Linked DNA regions of Nothobranchius furzeri. The protein of the gene in region 1 purifies or fractionates together with the protein of each later gene. This does not show direct contact. Links are inferred from orthologs where the notes say so. Each region holds a gene or a part of one and is shown in the gene's direction. Other genes may lie near its edges.

The links.
Region 2: the proteins of rpl8 (region 1) and ncl purify together in Homo sapiens (affinity purification with mass spectrometry; 3 studies listed by BioGRID and IntAct, with this or other methods). This does not show direct contact. The link is inferred for Nothobranchius furzeri from reciprocal best matches to the Homo sapiens genes RPL8 and NCL.

What each region holds. Positions count from the first base shown.
Region 1 is NC_091754.1:29,838,207-29,842,459, reverse strand, and holds the start of rpl8 (large ribosomal subunit protein uL2), read left to right. Parts: upstream 1-1,412; 5' UTR 1,413-1,493; intron 1,494-2,122; 5' UTR 2,123-2,128; coding exon 2,129-2,266; intron 2,267-2,341; coding exon 2,342-2,483; intron 2,484-4,253. UniProt on the Homo sapiens protein: Component of the large ribosomal subunit. The ribosome is a large ribonucleoprotein complex responsible for the synthesis of proteins in the cell.
Region 2 is NC_091748.1:62,941,533-62,945,040, reverse strand, and holds the end of ncl (nucleolin), read left to right. Parts: intron 1-88; coding exon 89-172; intron 173-260; coding exon 261-384; intron 385-465; coding exon 466-602; intron 603-716; coding exon 717-843; intron 844-972; coding exon 973-1,109; intron 1,110-1,223; coding exon 1,224-1,353; intron 1,354-1,403; exon of another isoform or gene 1,404-1,538; intron 1,539-1,616; coding exon 1,617-1,768; intron 1,769-1,954; coding exon 1,955-2,081; intron 2,082-2,351; coding exon 2,352-2,608; intron 2,609-2,700; coding exon 2,701-2,765; 3' UTR 2,766-2,924; downstream 2,925-3,508. UniProt on the Homo sapiens protein: Nucleolin is the major nucleolar protein of growing eukaryotic cells. It is found associated with intranucleolar chromatin and pre-ribosomal particles. It induces chromatin decondensation by binding to histone H1.

The sequences.
Region 1 (4,253 bases):
CGTGTCAGCTAACACAGCCCCACAACATCCAGAGCCTTAAGGAACACCGGGCATCTCTCATCCACCCCTGGAGCCTTGCCAAAAAGGAGCTTTTTAACCACCTCAGTGACCTCAGCACCAGAGATTTGAGAGCCCAACTCAAAGTCCCCAGACTCTGCTTCCTCACTGGAAGATGTGACGGTGGGATTAAGGAGGTCTTCGAAGTATTCTGCCCACCGATCCAAAGCGTCCTGAGTAGAGGTCAGGTATCTTATTTTGAAATATCGAAGGTGAAGTAACATTTCAGGAGCGAATAAGAAGAGGGCGTTCCCATTTTTGGAGGGTGCGTTCTCACTTACAAACCAAACTCCTTTTAGTGGCTGGCTGGTGTCAGTACCAGATCTGCTCGTGCAGCCAGATCGGCTCGGGGTACCGCATCTGCAAATTACGTCACAGTAGATGATTGGCTGAACGTAAGACTTGCAGAAGTTACGATACCACATCCGTAAAAGTTATGTTAGCACATTGACAATGATGATTTTGATTGGTCAGAATGAATTTACGGTTGTAGTCTTAGTGGCTGTAGTCCTGTAGTCCCAAAATCAACACTTTTCGGAGAAAATGTGTTTGAATTTCCAAAGTAAATGTAAAATAAAATGCAAAGATATCAACTGATATCAAAGTCTCAAAAGCTCTTGATTTTTATGAAATATAGGGCAAAATAAAATTTAAGAACTTTACTGAAAAGACACCAAGCAACATTTTGAATGAATGAATGAATTAATTAATTAATTAATTAATTAATTAATTAATTAATTAATTAATTAATTAATTAATTAATTAATTTACATAGCAGCTAAGGAAAAATACAGACTAATTCCACATTTATACAAACAGATGTGGCTTCACATATATGAACTGTTGTCTTTTTTGGCAGTCTGACGGTTTTATGTAGTTTCACGTTCTGTATAAAACAAATATAATATGGTGTTTTATTAATAAATTACAATTATAAAGAAAACATTTAGGTAGTAGCAAACAAGAATTTATTAACAAAACTGCTGATCTGGTACCAGATCTGACAGATGATATTTATCACTGCACACAACCATTGTGTAAACACTGTTACATAGATATAAATTGAATTGTGTTTTTAGGTAAACGAAATAAGAAAAAGACAAAGACTTTATTATTGTAAAAACGATAGTAATGATTTTAAAGGTTTTGTCACCAAGCACCAACAAAGCTCAGAATTGTTGTCTACAAACCTGAGTGACTTTTGAATAAAATTGAATAATTGCAGACAACAGTTGGGATCCTGGCCTTCTCTAATCAGAATTAAACAGCATTTTGAATATTTTTTGAGTTCCATACAACTGCATTCTGAATTAAATTGACCATCTGTCTAGTTCGCGCCTTTAAAGAATACATTTCCCATCATTCCCTTAGTAGTTTCCCCGGAAGAAAACGTGCGATGTTTCTTTGTGCTTCCTCTTTCCGTCAGCGGAGTTTAGGTACGACAGCTATTTTCTGCTTCTCACCGTTTCATCGCTTGTTAATCATGACTTTTCTGTGTCATCCACATCAAACTAATACTTATATGTGTACACAAAATGTTCACATATTTAATTTAGGTAGCATTTTAACAGTTGGCTTGTCAAAAGCTATATTAAACTATTTTAAGTGCTTGGTGACATGGCGGAGTGGTAGCGCTGTTAGCGACTAAAAGGCCGGCTACTGTGCTTCACCAATTTGTGTTTTTAAGATGTACGGTACTTTAATCAAGGCGATGGAGAAATAAGATTGTAAATTAAAAGACTACACGTAAATCTTCGCTCACTGTTTAATGAACGGTGTTAGCGGTATTAGCTACTAAGCTAACACCGTAAAAGATGTTGTGGACATGTGAAGTTAAACCTGCTTTCATATGGCCCTAACAGCGGAAATATATAATAGTTTTTCTAACATTCCCTCTGTCAAAATCTTAATGTTTTTGTCCCAATACCTCAAACGTTTATGTAAAATTGACTATTAGTTTAAGAGTGTTTAAAAATGACAGGGTGAGCGTTGTTAGCCTTGCAAAGCATTGATTTGTAAAATTCCAATTAAATGTGGCCCTGAAGTACTCTGCTGTCTGTTTCAGAACACGATGGGACGTGTGATCAGGGGACAGAGAAAAGGTGCAGGCTCTGTGTTCAGAGCCCACGTTAAGCACAGGAAAGGTGCTGCTAAACTCCGTCACATTGACTTCGCTGAACGCCATGGTTACATCAAGGGGATTGTGAAGGTGGGTGATGCTTCAGAACTGGTTTTGGTCTTGTAGAGTGAGGCTGGTGTGAAGTTTTATACCTGATCCTCTCAGGATATCATCCATGACCCTGGCCGTGGTGCTCCCCTTGCCAAAGTGGCTTTCCGTGACCCATACCGGTTCAAGAAAAGGACAGAGCTCTTCATCGCTGCTGAGGGAATTCACACTGGACAGTTCATCTACTGCGGCAAGAAGGGTACGAAACTAAAGCTCCTTTCACTATTTAGATTTTGCATCCCAGGTACCCTTCACAGGTGCAGTATGTAAGAATAAAGTGAGCATTTTACAGTGAGAAAATCTCAAAAGAGTCAACATTTCAGTCATTTTGGAAGGACGGTTTTACTGAAACATATTTCATATCTAGATGGCTGTGAGGAATGTCAGTTTTTTTCCCTTTCAAAATAAAGGAAGGAGGGACATAACTACTTTTTACCATCAGTGAGTGTATATAATCAACAATGTTGATTATATATTTCTTCATCAAGTTGACGCAGTGATAGCTTGATCTTGTATTGTTGTTGTGTCCCATAATTTTTAGTTTTTTTTTTCTTGCCTCTTTCTGCAGGTCTAGAAGCAGACTCTTGTTCATTATTGTTTATTTTTGTGGACCCCCTTCCCCCTCTCTTCCCACCTTTTGTCTTTTCCTTTCTCTTTCACCTCTGTCTCCATGTTTGGTCGGAATTACAAAGCATTTAAAAACAATAACAAAGTTTTAAGTATCAGGCATGACATTAGAAGCAGACGCTTTGATGATCCACCTGAGAGTAAATCTGTAAGGCTTGTTACCAGCATTCAGACATCAATTCTGTTTGCTTCACAGCCAGACGGGACACGGTTAAAAAATAATAATGAGAGTTCCCAGACCCCTTCTCTGTGCAGAATTAAACAGAGGAGTCTGGCAGGCCAGGCTAGCCTGGTAAAGTCATAATATGCAAATTAAATGAGTGAATTTGCTCCCAACACAAACTTAAGTCTTACTGAAGATTTTTCTCTTACAGTTCACCTTTATCTCTATTTCCAAGCCACAACCTTTTGAAATTGTCATGTCAAAATTAGGGCTGAGTGTTTCTGGAAAGTAATCTAATTGCAAGTTTTTTTCTTCGATATTGCAATTGCGATTTAATTCATGATTATTTTCAACTAAGGAAACAAAAAAGAATTGGCATCCCTGTGGGTTTTTCCATGATATTAGCATTGTGCTAACCACTCGCTGCCAGTCAAATCGCAGTCTTTGTGATTAGAAAATAGTCACATCGCAATTTAATTGCATATGCAGTCAATCGTTCAGCTTGAGTCAAAATTAATTATGATCTTGAAAAAAAACTGGCGCCCAAATGGTTACGTTTAAATCTGGTCTGTGAGATTCCTTAATGCCTGTTTTCAATTGTATAGAACATTTGATGGTCCAGCCCTAAACAATTGGGTACATTTTCCAGAAGACCTTCACAATCTTCTTCAAAGGATATGCAAAATGTAGCTTTATGCAGACCTGTCTGTTAGCTGATTAGAAATACAATAATTTAATCAAGGTGTGTACTTGTTTTTCAATTTGAAGCTGTGCGAAAACTGTTAATTTATTCAGCTTTAAGAGGAAGTTTCACTGGTGTCGTGCTTTGCTTAAAATGAACACTTTTGTTGTTAAATCACATTCATGTTTGTTTTTAAATCTTCTCCTGTGTGTTTGGTTTATTTTACAGAAACTAATTTAGCCTCAATATAGGGCTGGGCGATATGGCCTCAAATCTGTATTGTGATATAATCTGAAGCATGTGCAGTAACGATATATATTGCGATATATTTTTTCCTCTGTTTATATATGTCAAAATGACATGCTTTTAGATATCCTCATGTGGCAAATATATGCCACTTGAGGCATATAGGCCTCCTCCTCCGCCCACTCCATGCTTGCAGTCACCGCCATTCTGTTGTCCCATTGTCAGCAGGGTGCTCATCTTAGTGACGTCAT
Region 2 (3,508 bases), on another chromosome or scaffold:
ACTCAAAAATTAAGTTTTAATATGTGAGATTATCAGAGCGTCAGACTCTGCTTTCCTTGTTATGAGAGCTGTAACCTTTTCTCCTCAGAACCTCCAGCAAAACCTCAAAAGAGGAAGGCAGAGACCAAAAAGCAGGAGACTCCTGCTAAAAAAGCAAAGTCGGATGGTGAAGGTAAGACATGTTTATGAATTTTCATCGTGATTACAAACCATCACAACTCTGATGCAGTCTGACAATGACACAATTTTCTTATCAACAGGTTTCAGCCTTTTTATCGGAAATCTAAACTCCAGCAAAGACTTCGATGAACTCAAGGATGGGCTGAGAAAATTCTTCACCAAAAACAGTCTGGAGATCGTGGATGTTCGACTTGGGGGATCAAAGTAGGCCTTGGGCAGATTTTTATTTTTTATTTATTTTTTCCTAAACTGTCAGTAATAATTGTTGTGGTTTACTTCGTCTAGGAAATTTGGCTATGTGGACTTTGCATCCGAGGAAGACCTCAACAAAGCACTGGAGCTCAATGGCAAGAAGTTCATGGGTCTGGAGTTGAGGATGGACAAGGCTCGCAGCAAAGAAAACGCACAGGAGGGCAAGAAAGGTGAATGATGACGTCATGATGTTACTGAATTGGTGATAAATACTTGTGAGCTGTCGGCATCTTACTTGGCTGCCCAGAAATTGTTCCTAAGTTTATTTCCATTGTGTCCTACAGAGAGGGACGCCCGGACGTTGTTTGTGAAAAACCTTTCCTTCTCTGCTACGGTTGATGACCTGAAGGAGGTTTTTGAAGATGCTGTTGATGTGCGGTTACCTCAAGGCCAAAACGGTTCCAACAGAGGGTAAGAGGAAGATGAGCGATCCTGATTACTTCAGAAATGTTGGTTTACGGGGAGATGTGGCGTGTAATTCCAGAGTTCCTCCACATTCTCCTTTAATCAGATCTGCTCTAATAAACACTGTTTTTACAGTATTGCCTACATTGAGTTCAAAACCGAGGCTGAAGCAGAGAAGATGATGGGGGAGGCTCAGGGTGCTGAAGTTCAGGGAAGGTCAATCATGGTCGACTATGTTGGAGAGAAAAGCCAGAAAGGAAGCAGAGTATCAAGTAAGCTTCTCGTGGTATTAAACATCTCATGTTTCTGTCTTTATATCTTCGTGATGTGTTTCTAGAATACGATTGTGTCTGATTGCGTTCTTCTTCCCTTCTCTTGCTGTGTAGCGTCAGGCGCCGCCAACAAGACACTGGTGGTGAATAATCTCGCCTTCAGCGCCACAGAAGAAGTGTTGCAGTCCACCTTTGAGAAAGCTGCATCCATCAGGATTCCACAGAGAGACGGCAGGCCTAAAGGGTGAGTATTAGTTTGGCTAACTTTGTGGATCTGTTGGGTGATCCAAAACAACCTTCTCATGAGCTCCTCTTAATCCTATCGGTGATTATGCACGGATTCGCACGAGAAGCAGAGCCAAAGCACAGTCGAAACAGACTTAGCCCTGTCTGCAGGCGGGTTTTGTCCATGTCCGCTGTGCAACAAGTGACCAAGTAAAATTGTAAATGTAAAAACTGCTATTGTCTTTTATTAATGTTTCTCTTTTTTTCTGCTTCTGTCTCTAGGTTTGCCTTTATTGAGTTTGAAAGCACTGAAGACGCCAAGGAAGCTCTGGAGAACCTAAACAATACAGAAATTGAAGGCAGGACCATCCGGCTGGAGTACAGCCAGAACAGCGGGGGAAGAGATGGCGGTGGCGGCGGCAGGGGAAACTCCGGTACATCTCCAATACTAATACTATCTCTCATAGTTGTGACCAGATGTGATGAGCCAGTGATCTCCCGATCCTCTGTGAAGATTCAAAAGATAGTCAAGTACTGATCAGGTCTCATTAGTGACCTCGTCGTGTGAAAGCTGGTCTTTATGTTCATATCGTGATACTTCTTGTGCTTTCCTCCATCAGGTCCAACAAAGACTCTTTTTGTGAAGGGTCTCTCTGAGGACACCACAGATCAGACCCTCAGGGATTCCTTCGATGGCGCCGTAGGAGCCAGGATAGTCACAGACAGGGACACCGGTTCGTCTAAAGGGTACGTACGAGGAGAGCTCCGTGTCTCAGAGCTTCTCGTGAGCGTCGCTTTGTCTCTGTGGCATATTGTGGGTTCACTTGAGAAGTAGAGTGAAGTCGCAGTTAAACAGACGGCTTCCTGAGTGGAATCTGTCCATGTCTGATGTGAGACAATTTCATATTTCACACGCTAACACGAACTGAAATAGAATAATTTATTTTTTCTGCATTAACAGAATTCTGCTCATTAAAGAGCGTTAGCTGCTGTTCTAACTGAGCAATTCTTCAACAGCTTTGGCTTTGTGGACTTTGACAACGAGAACGACTGCAAGGCAGCAAAGGAGGCGATGGAAGACGGTGAAATAGACGGCAGCAGGGTGACCCTGGATTACGCCAGGCCCAAGGGTGAAGGCGGCTTCCGTGGAGGCAGAGGGGGTGGTGGTGGAGGTCGTGGCGGGTTCAGAGGAGGCCGCGGCGGGTTTGGAGGCCGAGGGGGTGGCAGAGGAGGAGGAAGGGGTGGTCGAGGAGGCGGACGAGGTGGCTTTGGGGGTAAGCGATGGTCATGATGGTACTTGGACTTGAGTATTTCAGCTTTGTGTTACTTGCTGGGTATTGAACTGTTGGATTTGTGTTCCCTTTAGGTGGGCGAGGTGGAGGCGGGTTTGGATCAAAACCCCAGGGGAAGAAAATCAAGTTTGATGACTAAATCCTGGATGTAGTTGTGTTTTGAACAGACTCTGGTTTCATCCGTTTCAGAGCTTTTGGACATTCCAGAAAGCATCATTGGTATATTTATCTGTAAAGGGGCCTTTTTAAGCCCCATGTTTAGACCCTTCACCACCTACTTTACCCTCCTGTGCCAGAATGGTACTTCAGACCGTTTCAACTTTTAGTGCTACGCGTAAAAACAGTATGCTCCAAATGCAAACCTGCACCTCTCGTCATTTTACGCTATCTTTTCCACGGGGAGTAAAATGAAGCGGTTTTGCTGTGAAAAGGAAGCTGTGTAAATTAAAATTTCGTTTTACCTTTTGTAAGAAGAAATTACACCTGTAACCATATTTTTGTTTTTATTTTGTTAGGTAAGTTTTGTTGTGTTGCGTCTTTCATAGTCTAATCCTATAAAGCTGCATTGGTTTGGTGGCTAAAGGAGTCGCAGATGAATTCATTTCTCTGTAACATAAAATGTTTAGACTACGTTGACTGGTTTTTGACCTCTCAACATTTTCACCTGAAATAAAACCTTACAAGAGGTCATTTTTAAATATCTATCAGACTTTGTCATTTTTAGGCAGCAAATCAAAATGGTCTTCTATAAATTATGGAAACAAGACTTCTGTATTGGCAATTGGTTGTATAATTAACAAATTTCTGCTTTAGTCTTTAAAAATCAAGATACGATCTTTTAGTTCTAACTAGGCGTTATAGGGTGGTTTTTTTGGTAATGTT